2 linked regions of the Rhinolophus ferrumequinum genome follow. Each later gene encodes a partner of the first gene's protein in a complex. Links are inferred from orthologs where the notes say so. Each region holds a gene or a part of one and is shown on either strand. Other genes may lie near its edges.

Evidence for each region.
Region 2: the proteins of MCHR2 (region 1) and PMCH are in contact, whole or in part, in a cryo-EM structure (PDB 8WST), measured with the Homo sapiens proteins. The link is inferred for Rhinolophus ferrumequinum from reciprocal best matches to the Homo sapiens genes MCHR2 and PMCH. Residues at the interface, in NP_001035269.1 of Homo sapiens: His82, Gln92, Trp93, Gly96, Gly97, Thr110, Asp113, Gln117, Ile175, Phe177, Val181, Ser183, Cys184, Ala185, Phe186, Leu188, Thr189, Ser190, Pro191, Val194, Tyr197, Thr198, Tyr267, Gln271, Asn274, Met277, Glu278, Gln279, Pro280, Phe284; in NP_002665.2 of Homo sapiens: Leu151, Arg152, Cys153, Met154, Leu155, Gly156, Arg157, Val158, Tyr159, Arg160, Pro161, Cys162, Trp163.

What each region holds. Positions count from the first base shown.
Region 1 is NC_046286.1:54,606,963-54,619,632, reverse strand, and holds the start of MCHR2 (melanin-concentrating hormone receptor 2), read left to right. Parts: upstream 1-6,890; 5' UTR 6,891-6,973; intron 6,974-12,670. UniProt on the Homo sapiens protein: Receptor for melanin-concentrating hormone, coupled to G proteins that activate phosphoinositide hydrolysis.
Region 2 is NC_046293.1:17,175,718-17,186,791, forward strand, and holds PMCH (pro-MCH), read left to right. Parts: upstream 1-8,065; 5' UTR 8,066-8,135; coding exon 8,136-8,375; intron 8,376-8,376; exon of another isoform or gene 8,377-8,726; coding exon 8,727-8,933; 3' UTR 8,934-8,956; downstream 8,957-11,074. Other genes in the region: PARPBP (PCNA-interacting partner), read right to left, coding at 9,612-9,952, 10,460-10,595. UniProt on the Homo sapiens protein: MCH may act as a neurotransmitter or neuromodulator in a broad array of neuronal functions directed toward the regulation of goal-directed behavior, such as food intake, and general arousal. May also have a role in spermatocyte differentiation.

The sequences.
Region 1 (12,670 bases):
TATGTGGAAGGATGAGCCTTAGGGAGGGAAGGGAAGGAATTCCATTATGACAAGAGGTTAAAATGTTAGGACAGAAGCAAGTAATTATGTTTGATATAAGAAGTGGAAGGAGTTACTTCCTGATCTTTTCTGTTTTTTCTGTCAAGTAGAAGATAGTTTTAGGAAAGAGTTGAAATGCTACCAGGGAGAATAGGAGAGCCAACTAAGGATGTGCAACAAGACCACTGGGCAGTGTGAGGGCCCAGCTGGAGGGGGAAGTCAGTGTTTGTATGTAATGGAGGTAATCAGTGTACATATGTTGCTTATCTTGGGAAGCTCTTGGCCTACAAACATGAAGGAGGTAGAGAGTTGGGTTGATCTAGGCATGAGGTTCCTAGAGGTAGGTCTTATATTGGTTAGGGTAAAGGTTAAACAGTAATGACAAAAAGACCGTAATACACAGTGGCTTACATAAAATAGAATTTTACCTCTCTGTCACTTAACACTCACAAGATGAAAAGTCAAGGTTGACCAGGAGGCTCAGACTCATGAGTTTATTCAGGGACCTACGTTCCTCCCATCCTGTGCTCATCTGTGCGGTCAAAGTTGGTTAGCTCCTTCATCTGTGTTCCAGCTCATGGGGAAGAGAAAAGAGAAAGTCTAGAGCAAGGAATTTTCTTTCTAAAAAGGAAGGTGGAATATGCAGATATCACTTCCTATTACATTCATTGATGAGAACTTGGTTCTATGGCCACTACAAGTTAAGGGACGCTAGAAAATATAGAAGAGGAGAGGGATAGGCACGGGAGGATACACAGCCTTACAGGGGTATCGAAGAAGGACAAGGAGGTTAATAGAGGGAGGATTTTCAGGACTAACCCTGGAACTTGGACTGAGTCAAGGGGTAAAGAGAATAAGAACTCAAGAGACTGTCGTCTCTGAGAGAACATAACCTTTGCAGTAAGAGAGAAAAGAGGACAATAGGTGTTTGTGGTCAGAGAGCAGCATTTCAGATTTCAGCGGTGGAGAAGTTCAGGATGATAACTGGTTCTGGGGTATGGCCCAGAAAGTGTGTGAGTGACGCGGAGTGTAGGTAAACATTATTAAAGAATACTGCAGAAATTTTCATTATTCATCTTTCCAAGTGTCACCTAACTATGAGCCTATCCTAATGTCATAAACTAGAGTAAGAACCTTATTAAAATTTTTATTATAGCCTCTTTTCTCAATTAGCAAAGTTTATCCTAACTCATGGGATTGACAGAACACCTCTTGTAGGTCCTAAAATTTGAATAAAGAGAAATTAGGGATCATATATTTGTGTGTACCCTGACCTCTTGAGTTGGCACTTAGTTGCCACTGCCACCAAGTGGTCAGTAGTGAGAATTGCATTTAGTGCTAGAATCTATTGCCAATGAGGCATTTGCCTTTCCAAGAAACCACCTTTCAAGCTCTGGAGGTCTTCCAACTCTCTAGGGTAATATTTGTGTGAAAGCTTCCCGGTGAAATATGCAATATGTCAATCCATTTCATGAGAAATTACATAAAAAAATGTAGCCTGATAGGTGATCTACTCTAACATGTTCACAATTTTTTCTTTGACAATACAGGGAAAGGTTTTTTCAGAAATGTACACTTATATACCGGGGGTGCCAAAAAAATGTATACAAGTGGACACTCTGGTCAATGTTGCTAAAGCAGTTGTTCACCATAATCAGAAGTGTCTGGAGGCTGATGGTAACCACTTTGAGCACCTCTTGTAATTGCAGAAGTCAAACGTGACTTGTATTCATCTTTTGTTACTGGTATACATTGAGTATTACAATTTTCATAGTTTTTTCCTTTCTTAAAATGTGTATACATTTTTTTGGCACCGTGTGTGTGTGTGTGTGTGTGTGTGTGTGTGTGTGTGTGGTCCAAAACATTGAAAAACAGAAAAAGTAAGAATGTTTGGTGGTACCATGTTTGTAGACAAACCTGAGTGGTCAGATCCTGGCATTCACATGGACGAACATTTCAACATGACCAATGACATGAATATACACAGGGGAAGCATCATGAGCATTGCCTGCTCATATATTTTTCACCTTTTTTCCTGTATAATGGAGCTATTTTTACTCAATACATAAGGATACTGTAACTTTGTAATAGCCATTTGGAATACAAAGAGGTAAAAACAGTCAGAATCAGAATTGAGAAACTCATAGCAAACCAGTGGACCCTCTACAATCTCTCCTTGATTTTACTGTGGTCTTTTAATAGAACTAGGTGAAAAGTGAAAATTGGAAGCTGAATAGCTACCTTTACTTATTCCACAAATTCAACAATTATTTGTTAAGCACTTACTATGGGCCAGGTAGAGCTTACACTCTAGTGGACTGAGATATATACTATCACCCCTGAGTCACAGATAAGGAAGCGAAAGCTCAGAAATATTATGAGGTTTTAGGCACAGATCTGTCCTAAAACAGTACTTGTTATTTTTATACTACGGCAGGTCAGATAACGTTATTTTCATTCAACGTTGTTTCTTTATAACACTTTCTGAAATCCCTGTTTTTTTTTGGTGCTTGGCATTGTGACTAAGCTTGAAAAAGAGCTCTCCTCTATGTGCTCCACATTTCTCAAAAATGTGGAAAAAATGGGATGAACCAGTATTTCAAGTTATTTATTCTCATTTTGACATGAACATAGTTTCTGAGTAACTTTAATAGATGTGTGATTTTTGGGAAAAAAATGCATGTAATTAAAACTGATCAATTTAATTCATTGGTCATTGATTTAAAAATAAATGTTCTTATATTGATTATAAAATCATTCTGAAATATGGCTGTCATCAGCAGTGGAACATAACTTTTAATCATTTAGAAATTTGGAGCCATACAATGTAAGTCATTGACGTGAAATTCAGCAGTCATAAGAAGGTAAATGGAGGCTTACTAATAAGCAAAGTTTTAAAGAGTCCAATTGATTGGTAAAGCTTGGAAATCATTGCAAACTGTTCTAAAAGTTCAACTCAGTTTTCTTAATAGCAAGTCTAGAATTTACACAAACGGCCCTTAGTAATTTTTAAAAATTTCAAAGTGCATGTTCTATAAGATATTACTGTGATAGGAAGGTATAAAAATAAAGTAAGTTTGGGAAGTAATGGTTTAATGCAGTTCTTCTCAGAGCCTTTAATGCATCAATGTGAATTATGACTCTCAAAAGGGGAGTGAGAGAGTTATATATTATATGATGTGTTCCAAACTCTTTAGACCATTATATCAGTCATCTATGGCCACAATAGTTCTGGATGACAAACCATGTCAAACTCAGTGACTTAAAACAATCATCATTTATTCTTACAGATCTGCAATTTGACTAAAACAGCTCTGCGTTAAGCGGCAGGTCTGTGGATCTGGGTATTCCACACATCTCTCACCCTCCTCAGCCCAGCAAGCTAGCCACACCATGATCCTCTCAGACAAGGGCAGAGGTACGAAAGAGGCAGCGAAAATGCATGATACCTCTTAAGTGCTAATCTTAGAATTCTCATACTGTCTCTCTAACACACGTTCAAGTGGACAAAGCAAGTCACAGGGCCAAGCCCAAAGGAAAGGGATGATAAAATATGCTCTGTCCACGATGAGGCCATTGCAAGGAAGGGGATCCAGGAAGGGGTAAAAGACCTGGGATCAATAATTTAATCTATCATGACCATAAAACCATTTGTTTATAGACCATCTCATGGCACTAGTGTTCTGTGGAGTACACTTTCAGAAACATTGCAATATCTCATTGGTGCTTATGCAATGCACATATTCGTGGGCACAAAATATCATCAAACAGCAACACCCTGAGATGAAGCAATTTGTGAGACGTTTTCAAATATCATAATCTGAATGGGTATACACCACCATATAGCTGTAAGAGAAAGATCCTTCCTGCTAATGGGACTTTATAAAGTCCTTTGTATTGTCACAGCTCATTAAGAATTCAACCCCTAGAATGAATGTGGACACTATGTGTTCGTTTTAGGGAGAGAGCACTTCTCCATAGCCTCAGCCAGAATACTGTAAAGCATTTAGGAGGGAGGCAGATCCTCCTAGAAATGGGTGATTAGGACTCAGTTCTCAGAGCTGTGCTTTGAGTAAATGCATTGCTGACAGCAGGCAGATTGTGGAAAGAAGTGACATCCAGGCCAGGGTCCTCAAAAGAAAGCCATGCCAGATCAGCATGGTGATGTCCCTGAATAGTCCCTTAATGCAGAGAAATAGACACCAGAACCCCAATGGGTATTTGTACACTCTGAATATACATGTATGGAGCATAAGGAACCTCGTTCCCATCAGCTTGTGTGATCAGTCATCAATCATTCCTTCTGTTACTTTTATAAGACCAGAATCAATGAACCTCATCAAAAATTCTTGAACCAGATGAAAATTTACCAGATAAGCAGAGTCAGAAGTCTAGGTCTAGAGTGGAACAAAACCAGGTCAGCAGCAGCTCCCGTCACACACCACCAGTAGCAGTGAAATGGTTTGTCTCAAACCCCAGCCCTGTATCCTGCTGAGAAAAAAGACACAGATGTTTCAGGTGCAGAGTTTTAACTCTGAGTTCTGGCTCCTCTAGCACTCTCCAAAGCAGGTGACATCATCAAAAGAACTCAGTTTAGAGTTAAGAACTGGACAGGATTCTATTCCTGGTTCAGCCTTCACTTCACTATCATTTATTTTAACTTTTATCTCAGTTTCTTTATTAGTAAAATGGGATAACACCCATCCTGTGTACTTTCCAGAGTTGTTATAAAATAAATCATATTCATAATGACACTTTAAAGTAGTAGGTTGGTAGGAAAGTAATTCTGGTTTTTGCAATTATGTTTAACCTTTTAAACCGCAATTACTTTTGCACCAACCTCATATATATAAATGTGCCACCACAAGACAAGATGAGGTCACATATCCTCCATCAACATCTGTGGAAATTGTCAAACATAAACAAGGATGCAATTAAATCTCATGTGATGATGTTTTCCTCAATAGTGGTCTCTAGTACAGACCTTTTAGCTACCAATACCTTGTAAATCACAGTGCAACATACTGGGCGAGGAAAAAAAATTGGTTTAACTTTTACAATATGGCAACAACAACAAAAAGAGATTTATTCATCTTCATGTAGAGTGCACCGTTAGATAGGATTTGATTGTCATCATCATTATCAATCACGGGAACAAAGGATTGAAATGGCAAAATTATTATTGCAGAGACTCTGGCCTTTTTAAGATGAATGCCTCCAAGTAAGAAATGCAAGAGAAGCCACCCTGGAGTTTACCTGGAAAAGACTCAAAATCTGATCAGGGTAAAAAAGTTGAACGAGATAAACTTCAAGAATTTAACTTGGAGAAAATGTGAGGTGTATGACCTCAGAGGGGACTGCATTTTTATATTACCAGAGAAATACAAAATGCTTTTTGACAAGGGTATTACAGAAGTTTCAATAACAGATAAGAATCAGCCTAAGAGATGGATGAGGTGGTGATTTCTGTTTTTCTTTCTTTTTTTTCCCTTTCCTCAAAAATGCTGCCATGCAATCTCACTTCACACTTACGAACAGACCCCACACCCTTCTAGGACCTTGGCCACTAAGTCTCCCACTTTGAACTCTCTTTAAATTATCTCTAAATTCCATTCCTCGTGCTCCTTCCTGTGGTTTTTCTTTGAGAGATTTTGGGGCATATATTCATTTAGAGACAGTATACTTTTGCATAAAACACTAACTCTAAGGTACCCTCCAGTTCTAAAATGTTTAATCAAATGACTCTATACTTGCTTTTAAAACGTCTGATCTGTGGAATTTTGGAGCCAATTTTGCCAATCTCTCAAGTTTTTCTGATTTTTTTTAATTTAATGTGTAAATACATGACATTTCACCAGGCACTCTGACCGTTCAGATTACAGAAGGAGAAAAGATTCTGAAAGGTGTTATAATCATAATTAATTACCCTAGGGACCACTTATTGAGCACCATTACATGCCGGGCCAGTTTCAGTGCTTTTGCATATATCATCCCCTGAAGCCTCCCAGCAACCCTAGGAGGAAAGTATTACAACCCTCAATTTATAGAAGGAGCCACTGAGGATTAGATACATTGAGGAAGCTGCCCAAAGTCATACGCCTAATAGTCAGTGATGATACTGGGATGGAATTCGGGCTGTCTGTCTCTAAACCCTATGAGGCTCCCTTGGATAAGAAGAAATGATCCAGCTCCAGCTTTACAAATGTCACCGTATTTTGCTAAGTAGCAACTGAGGCCAATAGATTTGATCAAGGGGAAAACATGAAGCTTGCAGTCATTATCAAGTAGTTTTGCTGGGTTGACTTAACAGTTTGGGGGATACCAAAGAGATTTAAGAAGGCTAAGCCAAAATTCCCACTAGTTCCTTGGTGGAATTACAGGTTTCCCCTTCCCTCGCTCCTTCCTTCTCTCCCTCCCCCTTCCTTCCTTTGAATCTTCGGGACATCAGTAAACATTTGCTGAAATAAAAAGAAGGTTGGATTTCTATTGCTTCACTCCTTTGCCGAAAGCACTTACAAAGGTTCACAGGAACCTACGTGACTACCACACTCACTTGAATAAAACAAGCTCTTGAGAGCAGAGATGTGTTAACATTTTATTCTCTACGACCTCCCAAACTCCTAGAAGAGCGCCAGGGCAAACCATAGGCGCTCAATCAGATTGCTGATTGGATGAAGCACGCTTTAAGTGGCTAGAGTAAGACCGCCGTTTGGGGCTGGGCCGTTGTTGTTTTATATTTTCTTCTGACACCCCCTTTGGAAATGGAGAAAAGGTGGGTTCCCAATCGGTCTCAGACTGCGGTCGGGATCCAGACCCTCCTACTCCTCTCCACCTTTCCGCAGCTGATCCGGTCGGCCCGCAGCCCCGCAGAGAAGGGCGTGCGGGCTGCTGGCCGCCGTGGCACCGCGGGGGTGGGAGCACTGTGAGCACTCAGGTGACGTTGCTGCGTGCTGAGTTCAGGGGCCGGCAGCGCGGAGAGGGGGCGCCCCAGGGTGCGGCGGGCAGCGCAGGGGGACCGACGGGCGCGGGCTCCACCCGCCGCTGCTCCCCAGGGGCGGGTCATCGGTAGGTGTCCGATCTCTGTGAGCATCTTCTCTCCAGCCCTGGAAGGTACCGAGTGTGCTTCTGTGGGGGCACCTGCGGAATGGAGTGGGGCGGAGGGCCGGCTGCTTTCATATTCAGCCAAGAAAATGGAAATACAGGTGGGACAAGAAAGGCAGATGGCTCTCAAGGAAGGAGCAGCCTCAGCTCAGAGAGCTGCAGGGCGCGGAGCTGGTGCACCCAGGTCGTTCCTGGAGTAAATAGGCGGAAATAGAGTGGCGAAGGCGAGGGATTGATAACTGGGTTGTGTTTCCTAACAGTTCAGGAGGCCTTTTCTGAACTAGAAAAGCTAAATACAGTTCCTCACCCAGGTAAATCCCTGCGTCCCTCTTTAGCGCCTTTGGGCGGCCTGCTTTGAAGCCCCCTCAGCACTCGGTTAACTTGATATTACTCATAAGTCACTTGAAGCTTGCAGTGTCGTCTGTGCTCCTTGGATGCCCTTAGGAAGTTAGCGGCTGTCAAGGAACCGGGGAGAGTGGGAAGGGGGGGCGGGGCGTTTGCATATCAGCCTGGGGCTTTTTAGAGCCTTTGAGAAATTCTTTCTAAAAGCTTGTTAGCAATGAAAGAGAAATGTGCTTTCTTCTACTTCTTAATGAGGTTTTTGCCCCAAAGTCTGATATCTTTATTTGTAGTGGAATCTTCTTATTAAAACGCTTCTGAAGCTACAACTAAAGAAACAGTCCTAAAAATGGAATTGTTTCATTTTGGTGCATGCACAGAAATTTCACTGAACTTACTAGCTCAGTGCAAATTAGGGGGTGGGGTGTTTTCACTGAATGTTTTCTAACTTTTTAATATTGCAGTTCCTACTCAAAGAACCTATTTATCAGTATAACTTAGTGGGTAGCGATGTGGAGAGCGGGTGATGACTGACTGGATATGATTGGATTGAGTTGATAGCCCATTGTTTGTATTTTATTTGGATCACGACGTCTGTTAATGTCAAAACTGAATTGGCCTTTTGCAGAGCAGACATACCCTCATCTATCATCTCTTGGCTATGACAAGATAATTACAAGGGCAATAATGTTTGACTCTTAGCCTAGCACAGGTTGTTAAACTGCACAAAGCAATCAAATTCCAAGAAAAGTGTTTTTCTAGCCTGGGAAATAAAGTACCATCAATGCACAGGCTACCTAATGTTTCTGAAATATTAATGAAGACTGTTAAACAGAGATTGAGTAGGAAAGGAAAACCAGCAGGTACTTTAAAGAGGAGCCAAGAATGGTTGTGTGGGTCTAAGATGCTGTGAGAGAACCAATTTCATTTTTAATATCAGCTTGGCTTTCCTCAAACATCAGAAATGGATCTGGGGGAAGACTATTGCAGTATAGTGGTAAGTCCAGTTTTGAGAGGCAAGCCTGTAGCACTTAACACAACTGATGGGCTAAATGTGTCAGGTGCAGCAATTGTCCTACCAAAGGCCCCCAAATCACCAGCAGAGCTGTCCTGCACAGGACCTTTAGAAACCTCTAAGATCTGATGGTGGGGCAGTGTCTGGTCTGTCAGAGGCCCTAGGTGCAGTGGGCAGGACAGTCACAGCTCCCACTCCACAAAAGACAAAGGATGGGAAATGTTTTTGTTCCCTGAAGGATCCTCTGCCTTTCACCATGAATTCCCTCCCCCACTGGGACATTCCTTCCTGCAACCCAGCTGGAAGGAACCAAAGGCTGTCGCTTATCTTCTGTCTCAAACGTACTCACCCCTAATCCCTTGTGCATTTATTTTTAATATTCTGATCCTCAGAAGAGAAATGAAATAAATACAGGTGGGTGAAATTGAGGAAAGCTGGGGGACGGGGAAGGCAAAGGGGGAAGCCTTTGTTTGTGCCTCAGGGAAAGAAAACAAATTTTGTCAAGAGCCTACTCTGCTTTAAGCAATGCTTAGGTGCTTCCTTTCACTAAATCCTCACAATAACTATGTAAAGTAGAGAGCATTATTCCCACTTCAGCAATAAGGAAACCATCAGAGGGAAAAGTAGGGCTCAGAGAGGTCGCTGACTACCTAGGTACTTGAATACACACAGCTAAAAAGTGACATGGCTAAAATTAGGCCCTAATCTGTGTGACTCCTCCAAGAAGGTACACATGCTTCTCTTGTAAAGGCTGGTGAGAAAAACTAGAGTGGCTCTGTTCTCACTCTCAATCTCCCAGCTTTCCTGAGGAGGAGGAGCTTGGGTTAAATCTGCCAAAATCGATGCCCCAGGGACATGTATAGACACCTAGAGTCTTTTACAGAAGTACTGGACCCTATAGGCTGCTCTGCTCCCCTCCTTTCCCCACCCATTCTCTCCATCCTGACACTCAATCCTCTGATCCCAAACTGTCAAATTCTAGGTTTCCAGAACCATTGGCATGTGTCCTTTCTCTCCAAGGGTACACCCTTTCACCTCATGCCTGGGTTTCTTCTTTCAATCCCACACCCACACAATTGAAGATGTTATAAAGGCTCCTCCAAGCAAAGCAGGAGAAGCACATATAAGGACCCAAACTCAGCATGGCTTCAAAGTCTGCAAAATTCAGGGTCTGGTCCTTTCAAGCAGCTGGATCCCCTCACGATGGCGGGAAGGAAAGAGTGAATGAGTGGAAATGCTTGGGCAGAATTTGGGTCCCTCTGTCTCAGGAATGAGAAGGAGGAAAAGGAAAAAGAGGAGACAGAGAAAGAAAGAAGAGGGAGAATGGTTCTTATTCAAGGAAAACTTTATGATTACAGAGAAGTTTTGTAAAATGAGATTTCATTGTGTAATATTAATGCTGACAAATTGACATCATTTTGTAAGTTTCTGATGACTTACAGCTAATTACCGTGCAGCACAATCATGTGTTTCATTATATACAGAATAACTTTGTGGCCCGTTTAATTTAATTAAAATAAAATTCTGAAGTCTTTCTATGTACTCAAGTCTAATAGAGTTGTTCATAGATCCCAGTATTTAGCATGATTATCAAATCACCTATTGCAATAAACACACACACACGGAAAATAGTGTGTTTATCCTGCGACTCAAGTATTCTGAGAGACCTAGATTGAAACCTTGCTTCACGGGAGGAGTTTTATCCTTGGGGATTTATATTAAGCATGCAAAACACTGGCAAAGCTTTCCCACACTGAACTCAAGCCTCATACATTTAGCAGCTAGCTAATTACCCTAATTTTGAAGGATATAAGTTAAGTACAATTACATTGCAAAGCATTAAAACATTAGAACATTTAATATTTTGCTTCTCAGTATTGTCAGTTTGGGCTCAAATAAACTTATAAAAATACTCTACAGTACAGGTTTGGATCTTCTTATGTACACTGTTCAGCCTCCTGTATAGGGTGGGAAAGATCCTTCCATCGTAATTTCTATGCCTTCATTAAAATCACCTCATAAGAAATGAAATTATTGCCTCATAAGAAATGAAATGAGAGCAGAGAAATCAACAGAGAAGTTCTGGAAATCTTGCAGGCACCTTCTGAATGACTTCCCCTCTATGCTACAAATGCCCTCTTCTCCATGAAGTTATGTGATAGAGCTGAATTTATTATTTATTGTTTATGTAATAATTTTGTTACCTACTCTTTAAAAACAAGCAAATAGCAAATTATAATTTTTTAAAAACTCAAAATAAATTCCATAAACAAAACAAAAAAACATTGAAGTGTCATCAACTGGGTTCCACCCTGTCCTAAATATACCTGATGTCCCAAACTTTCTAAATAATTGGGTTACTTATTTTATAATTCTCTGATCATTCAGTTTCATTAAGATGGAACTGAGTTTGTTTTTTTGTTTTTTTGTTTGTTTGTTTTTAGTATATAGGCTTATATATATAGGCTAATGTACTTGCAAAAGTATACTTTTGCAAATATATTTGCATGAATAATGCTTCTACTCTTGAAAATGTAAAAATAAAAACCATGTACTGCCACTCTTTTTAAAAGTCTCAGTGAATTTTTCCTCCAACTAAAATTCTTTAAAAATTTACAAGAGAAGCTGTTCTTTTTGGGGAAGATTATTTCACAGAACACATATGAAAACATCTTTTCAAGTAAAAATGGCATAAAATTTTATACCATTAAGGTATTTCATTGCCTATATTCCACTTAAAATATTTCATAGTTTCAAAGTTATAAGGGGAATTTATTTTTACAGGTTGTTCTGTATAAAGAGCTTCGATATCAGAGTCACATAATTTTCTAAAAGTATTTCTTGGTTCTTTTCAAGCAGTAATCACAATCTATAAACACAATGTCCAAGCAGCTTTTCGGAGCAGTTTGGGCCTCCTCTAAAGAGGGAGGAAACATTTCAGGGACCATGTGTGATTGTTTTCACAATCTTTTCAGGGTGATATCAAAGGTCAACCACACAGCGTTCAAGGCAGCAGAGCTGGGTTCAATCTTTGTCCCTGTCACTCACTAACAGGGTGACCTGAGCGGTGTCCTTATTCTCATAGCATTAGCATTCCTTTTTCAAAATAAATATATAGTACTATTTGCCTATGAATATTATTGTGAGAAATAAATGAGATAAGGTATGTAAGGAACTGAGTATAGTGTCTGGCACATTACGTTCAATAAATTTTGCTTATTATTATAATTAACATTTTACTTCTCCGTGTTGGCTTTTGTATCTTTCCTTTTTTTATGAATTATCTAGGAAGTAATTTTAAATTTGCCGGTATTTCTGTACATATGATCTTGGACCCTCTTCAACCATTGGAAAGGCTTGTTTTTAACATGTGCTTTATATTTCTTTTTCTCACTGGAATCACAGGTGTGTTTGTGAGTGTGACTCACATATGTGTGTGTGTGTACATATCCATCTAGCTCATGGAGACTTTAAGGTTGGTCTGTTCACTGACTCATAAATACTGTAAGAATTGAACATTAGTCATAGGTTAATACTTCATTATGGCCATTTTTTAAGAGAAACCCAGTGTGTGATTCATTATATGGAAAAAGGTAGCAACATGTGCACAAAACTATCAGCTGCTCCAGGATATACACAAAACAGATAAAGTTGTATGTCCTCGCCCAGCCCGTCTTGACCCTGACTGGTATTTGAGAGTCAAAAGTGAGAGACAGACTGGTAGAGGATGAAGAGTGACCATCTCTGTTCTGTCTCCATCTATGACAAATGCTGTGGGTTGATTATTCCATTCTTGCATTGGATTTGGGTGGCTATGTCCTTTGGTGAGTCTGTGTCCATGCGTAGCCATAGGAGCAGGGGTAAGGGGAATGTACCTTACGTTAGAGCAATAACTGTAATTGCACTCCTTTTACCATTGATCAGTTTAGCAAAGACCATGTGGCCCAATTGCAGCCATTGACACTTCTGAAGAAGTCTGCTAGAGAGGCCACTGGGAAAGGATTACACATTCTTTAAAATGTCCACAAAGAAGTGATGGTTTCTTTTCTGGCCTCTGTTGTGGTTATGTGATGATGCGGGGTTTGGAGCTGCTACACCCATCTCATATCCTTGAGTGCATCAGCCTTGAGAAAAAGCTAACCTGATGAGGGTGGCTGCAGGAGAGAAAAATGGAAA
Region 2 (11,074 bases), on another chromosome or scaffold:
AGACTACCTCTCAGTAAAAAGCACATTACAACCCTACTTAAGAACATCTTTTATAAAGTATGGCTGAATTGGTGGTAAAATAAAGGAAACCATAACAGGCCAGAAAAGAGAAAGGAGGATATTTCACAGGATTTAACAAGGATTAGAGCCAGCATGGGCTCTGAGAGATTCTGTGAATTGCTGGTGACCTAGCGCTTGGTTTTAATGACCCACATGTGCTGGGACAAAAGGCAAAGAAAGTTTAGGACCTATGTAAAATGAGAGATCAGATCAGAAACTTAAACATAATTCTGGGAACCCCCATAATGATGTAAAGTAGAAAAATCAGCTAGAAAGAAAAGATGCTGGTGTCAACAATGGCTTTGAGAAGGGAGACTGGGGAGAAACGTGTACAGGTCTGACAACTAAGTTCCCGAACTTTGTTGCAATGATGTTGCTAACCTTTTATTTCTTTTTTTCTCCCCCCTTCTTCTGCCTCCCCACCCACTCCGGTTCAAGCCGTTGTTTCCCAGTCTAGTTGGACACAGCTCCCTGGCCCATGCTGGTATTATAAGCCTTGCGCTCCCCCTAGCTGAGGCAGTTGGTTGCCAATCGTTGGTCGGCCACTCATGGCAGCTCACGGTAGCCCACGGCAGCACACACCAGCCCACAGCCACTCATGCTGGCTGCCAGCTACGGCAGCACAGCAGCCCCGTGGCAGCAGCCCCACTGCAGCTCACAGCAGCCCAGCTCCAGGAAGAGCCATTGTTCACAATCTTAGCTGTAGAGGGCGCAGCTCACTGGCTCATGTGGAAATCGAACCCGTATCTCTGCGTTAGGAGCACGGCACCCCAAACTCCTGAGCCACCGGGCCGGCCCAACTAACCTTTTATGATATCAGAGGGATTATTCATTATGAATTTGTACCAACTGGACAAACAGTCAACCAATTTTTTCTATTTGGAAGTGCTGAAAAGGCTGAGTGAAAAAGTTAGATGACCTGAACTTTTCGCCAACAATTCATGGCTCCTTCATCACGACAATGCACCAGCTCACACAGCACTGTCTGTGAGGGAGTTTTTAGTCAATAAACAAATAACTGTATTGGGACAGCCTCCCTACTCACCTGATCTGGCCCCCAATGACTTCTTTCTTTACCCGAAGATAAAAGAAATATTGAAACGAAAGACATCTTGATGACATTTAGGACATCAAGGTTAATACGACAATAGCTGTAAAGGCCATTCCAGAAAAAGAGTTCCAAAATTGCTTTGAAGGGTGGACTAGGCGCTGGCGCCAAGGGCAGTACTTCGAAGGTGACCTTAGTGATATTCAGCTATGAGGTATGTAGCAGTTTTTCTAGGAAGAATTCACAAACGTAACTGTCTGACTTCATATATATATAGTCCTAAGAATTTCTAATGACAAAGTCATACTTACTTAGTTTGGTATTTGCACTGATTGTGACCTGAAAAGCTTCAAGCACAAATTTTAGTTTAAAGTAGTACTGTAGTGGTACTGCTCCAGGTGCCTGGCAGAAGCAAACACAGGAATTTCAAGAATCCCTTTGGATACAGTTCAATAAATATATGCAGAAAATGAAAATTCACTAAACACATGAGGAAGACACCATGAGTCAGTATCAACAGAAATAACAAACTGCAGAATCAGATAGACAAATACAGCAGACACTGGAATAATTAGATACAAATATAAAATTAATGTTTAAAAATAAAAATGTTTTATAGATTTAAAATAATAAAAGAGACTTAAAATGTGCTGAATAAAAAATATAAAACTGTAATTGACCAGGCAGATCTGAAAAGGAACCAAGAACTTTTGAAAATAAGTTAATTTAAAAGTTCAATACACAGATTAAACCCCAGATCAGTTAAAAGTGAAAGTGCATTGGTGAACTGGAATATAACTCTGAAAAAGTTGTTCAAAATGCAGCACACAGAGAAAAAGAGAATGTAGGAAAGAGAGGGTATAAGATACAGAGAAGAAAGTGAGCAGACAAGATATACATATCTATATATATATATCTATATGTATATATAGATATACATACATATATATCTATATATAGATGTATCTATATATGAAATTCCAGAATGAGAAATAGAGAACAGGGGAGAGGCAATATTCAAAGAAATAATAACTAATAATTTTCCAGAATTCATGAGAAACACAAACCTTCAGATTCAAGAATGCACGCCAGCATAAATTAAAAGAAATCCAGACACATCATGTGAAACATCAAAGCAGACCATCAAAGCCAAAGAGAAGATTTTAAAAGCAGCCAGATAGAATACAGATTATCTATAAAGGAATCATTATTAAAACTGACAGCTGAATTCTCAGCAGTAACAATGAAAACCAGAAGAAACTGAAATAATAAAGTACTAAGAAAAAACAATTGTCAACAGAATAACTATAGTCACTGAAACTGTTTTTCAAGAATAGCAAAATACATTTAATTAAAACAAAACAAACCTTAGTTCATTACTAACAGACTCTAAGTTAGCATCTAACTTAGAATACTTCAGAAAGATGTATGAACTGTGATCAGAAAATACAGTGAATGTTTATAACAAAATTTATTACAGTAAAAGACACATTGCCATTAATCCCCCTCAAAATACTCCCCCTCGCTTCAAACATACTTATACCATCGTTCTTGCCACTTTCTGAAGCAGTTCTAGAAGCCGTCTTTCATGTCTTTAGTTGCGCTGTCATAGCTGACTCAATGTCCTGAATCAATTCAAAACGTTTACCTTTCATGGTCATTTTGACTTTGGAGAAGAGCCAGAAGTCATACGATGCCAAATTTGGTGAATAAGGTGCACGAGAATATACCGTAATGTTTTTATTTGACAGAAATTACCACACTAGAAGTGATGTGTGACACTGAGCGTTTCTGTTGTGATCACAAAATACAGTGAATACTGCTGCCGAGTGCCATCCAACGGAAAGGCAAGGATCTTCAATACGGGAAACAGCGCGATGAAACTTAGTAACAGTATGTGAACTACAGTTCAGAGAAGATGTGTGTGAGGCTTGCGACAAGATAATGAAGCTAAGAGAGTCAGGAGGGTTGAGAAAGGTGAGTGCTTTATTCTGCTTCCCAGGGCGAGGTTCACCGGTCCCGCAGATGGGGCCGGTGAAGTCGCGCCCAGGGCAGAGCGAGGGAGGCATATATGTGATTTTTGGGGTGGGGTTTGGCTGAGTGAGGTGGCAGTTGGGCAGGCCCCCCAGCGCAGATCGGGCGCAAGCGGCTGCATCCGGAGTTGTTTATCGCACCAAAGGTCTGCTGCCTTTTCCGGGAAATGCCAGGGGCACCAGTTTCCATCATGCGAGCAGGGGTCTGACTTGGCAGAGGGGTATGACTTGGCTCCTGGACGCTTTGACCATGCCCGTAGCTGACCTAACAATGTGTTTAAAAATGTGCCGTAAATCATCCTCCATCATGACAACGCTCCATGTCACACATCGCTCCTGGTACGGCAAGTTCTATCAAATAAAAACATCACGGTGTGTCCTCATCCACCTTATTAATTGGATCTGGCACCGTGTGACTTCTGGCTCTTCCCCAAAGTCAAAATGATTCAGGACATCGAAGCAGCCACAATAAGTGCAACTAAAGACACTCACAAAAGAGGACTTCCAGAAGTGCTTCAGAAAGTGGTGAGAACAATGGGATGAATGTGTTTGAAATGAGGGGGAGCATTTTGAGGGAGATTAATGGCAATATGTCTTTTACTGTACTAATTTTTTTTATTTAAACATTCACCATATTGTTTGATCACACCTCGTACTTCAGAAAGAAGATAAATGGTTGTTAAAGATCTCAGATGTAAAACACAATGGTGAGAAAAAAATGGTAAGCTTGTAGGTAAATCTGAAAATAATGGTAACTGTATAAAACAAAATAATCTTTAATTTGTTCAATAAAAACTCAAGATAGAACTTAAATCTTAGAAAATAATAACATAAATTAGAAATAGTGGTGACTAGAGTTAAGGATTCTAAGGTCTTTACATTATTTGGGAGGAGGACAAAAAAACTAGTTAACTTTAAATGTAAAGAACTGAGGATGATATTAAAATGTCTAGGGTACATTCAAAACAATGAAAACTTAAACATAAACTAGAAGGCAATAAAGGGCAAGAGAAGGGAACATATTAAAATAAAATTCACAAACTATAATAGTAGCACTGAATCTCAGTAATTCAGTAAACAGAATAAATATAAACGGACTAAACTCGCCACGTAAAAGATAAAGATTGTCAGACTAAAAATTCCAAATTCAGCTATATATTTGTAATAGACACATATAAAACAAAAAGATACAGAAAAAGTGATAGTAATAGACACATTATTAAAGCTAGAGCGGGTCATTTTACATGATTTGGTTTATGAGGAAAATGAAACAATTTCCAATTAGAATGTCCGATAACATAAGTCAAAACTAAATAAAGCAAAAATTGTGAACTACAACAAATTAGATTCTAAGCTATTATCATAGCAAAAGAGTTACAGACATTTCTCTTAGTAATTGATAGCTCATGAGACAAGAAATCAATAAGACACAGAAGATTTAAACAACATATTAGCATGTTTCATCTTGTGAATACATACAGAACCATGCTCTAAACAATACTGTATACATATTCTTTTTAAAAACGAATAGAACTTTTTATGCAAAGTGAAAATTTTATAGGACACAAGGCAAGTTTGTATATGATGAGCCACATGAAATTGTTATTTGTACATCAAAAACAGTTGAAAATAATTAATTACACAAGACTGTATCTAATGCAGATTTCAAATACTGTACATGTTAAGATTTCTGACAAAAACCCAAGTTAGTTGGAACTTGGTACTCTCCCCCAAAATTTCAATTCCCATATATTTGGAATGTTACAAATATCTAAGTAATTGATGGGTCAAAGAAGAAATAATAGTGAAACTTATAAAAACTTAGAACTAAACACTGAATATTCTTCCTATCAAAATTGTAGGAGTTAGCAAAAATGATACATAAAAGGAAACCTATAGTCTTAAATGCTGATTTGTTTTAAAAAGTCTAAATATTATGACTAACGTTTCCAATTTAAAAAGTTAGAAAAATAGCAAAATAAACCTCAGAAAAAGTAAAGAAATAATAAAAAGAAGAAATTAGTGAAATAGAAAAAATATATAGTGAAGATCAACAAAGCCAAATATTAGATTTTTGAAATGGCTAACAAAATTCATCAACCTCTAGCAAGCCTGATCAAAAGACAGCAGCAGAGAGGAAGACATCACAAATAAACATAATTAAAATTAAACACAAGTACAGATGTACTGAGGCTTAAAATATTTGGAAGACAATATTATTAATAACTTTATACTGGCAAATTTGAAAACAAGTGAAATGGACATATTCTACAACAACTTAAATTCTTAACACAAACTGAAAAAGAGAGAGAAGCTAAACATTAAAAAATTTCACCACAAAAACATCAAATCCAAATAGTTTTTTACAAGACAGAAAAGGAATAAACCTTGCCCCCCAGTTCATTTTATGAAGCTAGTCCAACCTTATTGCCAAACCAGACAAAGGCAATATAAGAAAGGGAAATTACCAATCAACCTCACTCATGATAATAAATACAAAATGTACTAAATCACATATTAACAAATTGAACCCAATAACCTTTTAAAAGGTTTGTGTCATGAACACATGATTGGTTTAACATGAGAAAAATCTGTTCATTTCATTTACTACATTAAAGAGAAAAATGATAATGATCATCTTAATAGATACACAAAAAGTATTCAATAACATTCAATAATTCAAGAAAAAAACTATTAATAAGGCAGAAATAGAAGAGAACATCCTGCAAGTTATAAAGAATGTCTATAAAAAACCTAGAGCCAATAGCATGCTCCATAGCATGGTGAAACATTAGAAGCACTCTCCGTAAATCAGTAATTCTGCAAAACTGTCTGTTATCTCCATTTCCAACATTTACTGGAAGTTTTGGTCAGTGTACAAGTATATGCACACAAAGATAGACACACACACATACACACACACACACACACAAATACAGAAGGACTTGCACGGAGAAAATAAAATGCCATTATTTTATTATTTATGTAAATTGTCTTCATGGTAAACCCCAAAGAATTAATACATCTATAAATTAATTGTAATTAAAAAGTTTAGATGTAAACTTTCCATGTAAGAGCAAATTACATGTATACAGACCAGCAATAATGCTAGAAAAGGAAAAATTTGTTAAAAGATACCATTGAGAATAATTAAAAATAAGGAGTTTAAGTATAATTAAATTATAATTATAATTCTTTCAGCAAAAGACATAGAAGACCTTTATGAAGAAAACAGTAAAATGCTATTAAAAGATTAAATTTCTAAATAAATATGGAAAAGTACCATGTTCATGGATAACAAAATAAATTATCTTAAGGCTGTCAATTCCCTCCCAAAATCTATCTATAGAACCAATGCAATTCCCATCAAGGTTTCTCATAGAACTTGAAAAGCTGATATTCAGATTTATATGGAAAAGAAATGGACAGGAATAGCCAAGGAACTGCATAGAAGAAAAAACTGATAGGTGACTAGGGGGCTGAGAACCTCGTCCTACCAGATGTCAAAATTTATTTTAAAGTTATAATTAAGACTGAAGATTTGGCAGTGGAATAAAGAGTTCGGAAAGAGACTCACACATATATAGAAACCTGATATATTACAGAGATGGCATTGCAGATTATTGGGGTTGGGGCTATAGGATGAATTATTCAAGAAATGTGTAAGGACTTTTGGAAAAAGTAAAATTGTATCTCCATCTTATATCATACACAAAATTCCAGAAAAAGTGAGAATTTAAATGTGAAAGAAGTCAAAACATTTAAACTTTTAGAATATATAGACATACGTTAATGAATTCAAGGTACATAACTAACAAAGAATATCCAGGATGTATAAAGAACTCCCATGAATCAATAAGAAAAAGACAAATGACCCAAAAGAAAACGGACTAATATTGTTTGAAAGGCATTTTACGTAAGAGAAAAGATAAATGGCTCATAAACATATGCAAAGACACTCAACCTCTTTGGTAATTAGACAAATACAGATTAAAAGGAGAACATGATACCCCACGGTTGGCTAGGACAGGAAGCATTGGGAACTTTCACACCCTGCTGGTGGGAGCATAAATTGTTTGCTACTACTCTGTAAACATTTTGTTATCAGTAAAGCTGAACATGCACATACTCCATGACCCAGCAATTCACTACCTACTAGAAATATATCCTAGAAAAACTCTCACACATAGGTACCAGAATACATGTACAAGAATGTATTCTCTTACTTGGTGGGCTCAGGATTCGGAATTAACTCTGAAACGTTTAATTAAAAATCATACAACATACTCATCTTCCAAAATTAATATGTATGGAGCACATAAATAGTCTCTTCATGAATTTCTTATTCATTAATTGCTAAATATCAGTAATATCCTTTTGTAAATGCAGAGATAAAACACGTCTGACAGGTCAATTTGAGATACAGCATCAATGACTTTTTGTTGACACTGACACCCATACCCCCATTAATCACCGAAGACTAGATCAAGTATTTATGAAAGAAAATCCTTTTTGAAGCTTATTTCAATTTAACCAGGATTAACAGTAAATAAAACTTTTATCCTTATCATCATTTAGTAAAATAACTTTGGTTTTAATATCTTACTTAATCAGAAAACATACGGAAAGAAACAATAAGAATGTGGAGAGCCTGGTATCCTGTGATCTTCCTTAGTAACATTTTCAAGAGACTATAATCTACTCAACAGGAAGCATTCTAGCAAAGATCTTAATCAGATTCTGAGAAAATGCACACTGAAAATAAACAATATGCCACTAAAACCTAAACAATGAAGGTATTAGCAGTTATACAAAAGATTAGCCCCTATTTGATGACTCATTTCTGACATGATGAGTCTGTCTTTGAAGTGCTTTCTATACAAGCTAGAAAATATATAAAGGTAGGAATCATTGATGAAGCATGTTGAGGAATTTCCTTCATTTTACACATCCTTGTTTGCCTCTATGCAAACATCGAACTAAGAACAGCAAAAATGAGTCTCTCTTCCTACCTATTAATAATAACTTTTTCTTTGCTTTCTCAAGGCATTTTCCTTTCAGCATCGAAGTCCATAAGAAATTTAGAAGATGACATGGTATTTAATACATTTAGGCTGGGGAAAGCCTTTCAGAAGGAAGATACTGCAGAAAAATCAGTCGTTGCTCCTTCCCTGGAACAATATAAAAATGATGAGGGCAGTTTCATGAACGATGAGGAAAACAAAAATTCAAAGGTAAGTGGCAATATAACTTATCCTTTATTTCAATGTATATTTGAATGATTTTTATGAATCATATAAAAGTCAATACTTTTATAAACAGAAATATGTGCAAATAGTCACAATATGCATTAGGACAATTGATGAAATTTCATACATACCAGGTTGTTCTTTCATCCTGGACAACAACTCTTATCCAAAAGTTCCCCCCCCAAAAAAAAAAAACAAATGTGTATCGAAAGTACTTTTTTAAAGGCAAAACAGTATGGAGCATCTCTGTATTGATCAATAAGAATATCATGCTATTGTATTATATTACCATTCCCAATAAGACAGCTAAAACACAAATCAACCTTTTCTTTACAGAATGCAGGATCCAAACATAATTTCCTAAATAATGGTCTGCCACTGAATCTGGCTATAAAACCTTATCTTGCTCTAAAAGGATCTGTAGCTTTTCCAGCTGAGAATGGAGTTCAGAATACTCAATCAACACAAGAAAAGAGAGAAATGGGGGATGAAGAAAACTCAGCTAAATTTCCTATAGGAAGGAGAGATTTTGACAGTGAGTAGTCTTTTCAAATTCAATTCTTGTATCTTAACACAGAGTTTAACTGAGTTTGGATCCAATCATAACAAAATTAAATAAGACCATGGTTCAGTGACACTTGATATGTGATCCCTGCCAAATATGTGGGATTAAAAAGCATTTATTAGTATTATAATTTTGACTTACTCAGAATTAGCTATACTAGATCCATTCTTTTATTTCTGATAAATTTTGTGTGATGACAATAGTCCTTTAAACAATTAAAACTTTTTTGTTTTTCCATCAGTGCTCAGGTGTATGCTGGGAAGAGTCTATCGACCGTGTTGGCAAGTCTGATACCTGGTGGTCTAAGTCATCTTTTCAGAAGAAAACAAAATCATTTAATTGCCTGTGGGGGCCAAAGCCCTTAATGTTACTATGACTTGCATTATTTTAAATGTCTGTTTTAAATGAAAATACTATTAAGAGATATCAGTAACCTAAATGATATGCTTTATCTGTGCATTAAACTTTGTGAATATTCTGCATAATTATGACTTAGTAGTATTTTTTAAACAATGCTTAACATACTAACCTTACATACACTCCAGACCAAAATAATAAAGCATCATAATTTACACCTTGGTCTCTTAAAAATTAAGTAATGTCTTTGGTGAACGGTTTATGCATGTCCATAAATCTGAAGCACATAAAAGACAAATTCATAGTCTAAAAAACTGAGTTAACTTTGTCTGGCCAGTAATCAGTTTGTCCTTGGCGGAACACTTGTTGCTTTTTGCCACTCTAGTTAGTTTGCCATCCAATTTATTCTGCAAATCGTTTGATGTCTTAGGTATCTTAACATTTTTATGTCGAGGTGGCTCATTTCCATTATCACAGAGAATATTTTCATCATCTAAATCCACCTGTTTCCTTTTTGAGCTTTTCTTTCCTGCCTGACTAGTTGATTTTCTTTCTACTTTTTCATTTTTACTTCTGTCCAGATGAACATTTCCAGAACTTGTTCCAATTGTTGGTCTTCCAACAGATGAATTTACACCTTCTGTTATGCAAGATGAAAAGAGGAAGGAATTATATAATATTTAGTATTATTACACATGAGAATTTTACAATAAACTTTAAAAATGGCTAAAGAATTTTAAAAATGTATGATTTGCATAGTCATTTGTACATTGCATAAAATGTACAAATAATACAATAAATTACATGATTAACAAATACACTACATTACTACCACATTACTTTTCATTTTACCATATCATTTTTCATCCCCACAAACAACAAATACTTGCTTTGTTTGAATGTATGACATTTAATCCTTAAATGCTACAAGTTATTTCTTAAATACATTTAGTTAAATCAAACTGTGTCCTATTCCTATCTATAAAGTTGTACTTAATTTTTAATATAAACCCGTCTTTGAAGATATAAACCTTTACATTTCACATTTTACACTCTGCAAAAAACAATCTAGTTTCACTTAAGTTTTGTAAAATCAATTAGTACACTAGAATTAATGTTATTTAATTGTTCAAATAAGGTCAGTTACCAGAACAGTCATTTTCCATGTGAGGAACACACAATGGCTTTGATGCGGAATTAACATTATTCCATGTATTCCTGCTTATCAGGCAGTCATCTTTATAAGTACAAGAAAACTGGGATCTAATTAAGGTTTGCTTCATCTGGTAATAGGAAGAAAACAGAAAATATGCAATTTATTCTTTATTTGAATTTATTTTTTCATCTAGATAGAAATATACTGTATAGTAAGGACAGTATCAGAAAAATTTCCCTTAAAAAGTCAATTATTCATTGGGAACATTTAACCATTGAGGTTTCAAAGTTTGCAAATTCATATTCATTGCTACAACTAGCATTTTTATTCACTTTAGTAATATCTATTTTATGCATATTTTTCATATTTTTGTAACAACTTAGGAAGATCAATTTTAGACTCTTCAGAGGACTTTTTTACACACTCCTGTGTCTGAGCTGTTTTAGAAAATGAGTTTTATAAGTTTAATGATAATATACATGATATACATAATCCTAGAAAAATACAGTTCTTCCTAAAAATTACAAAGTATAACTCTTTTAGGAAAAAAACCACATATGATATTCAAGAAATTAGAGAAATTGAGGAAGAGAGAAATGCTCAGAT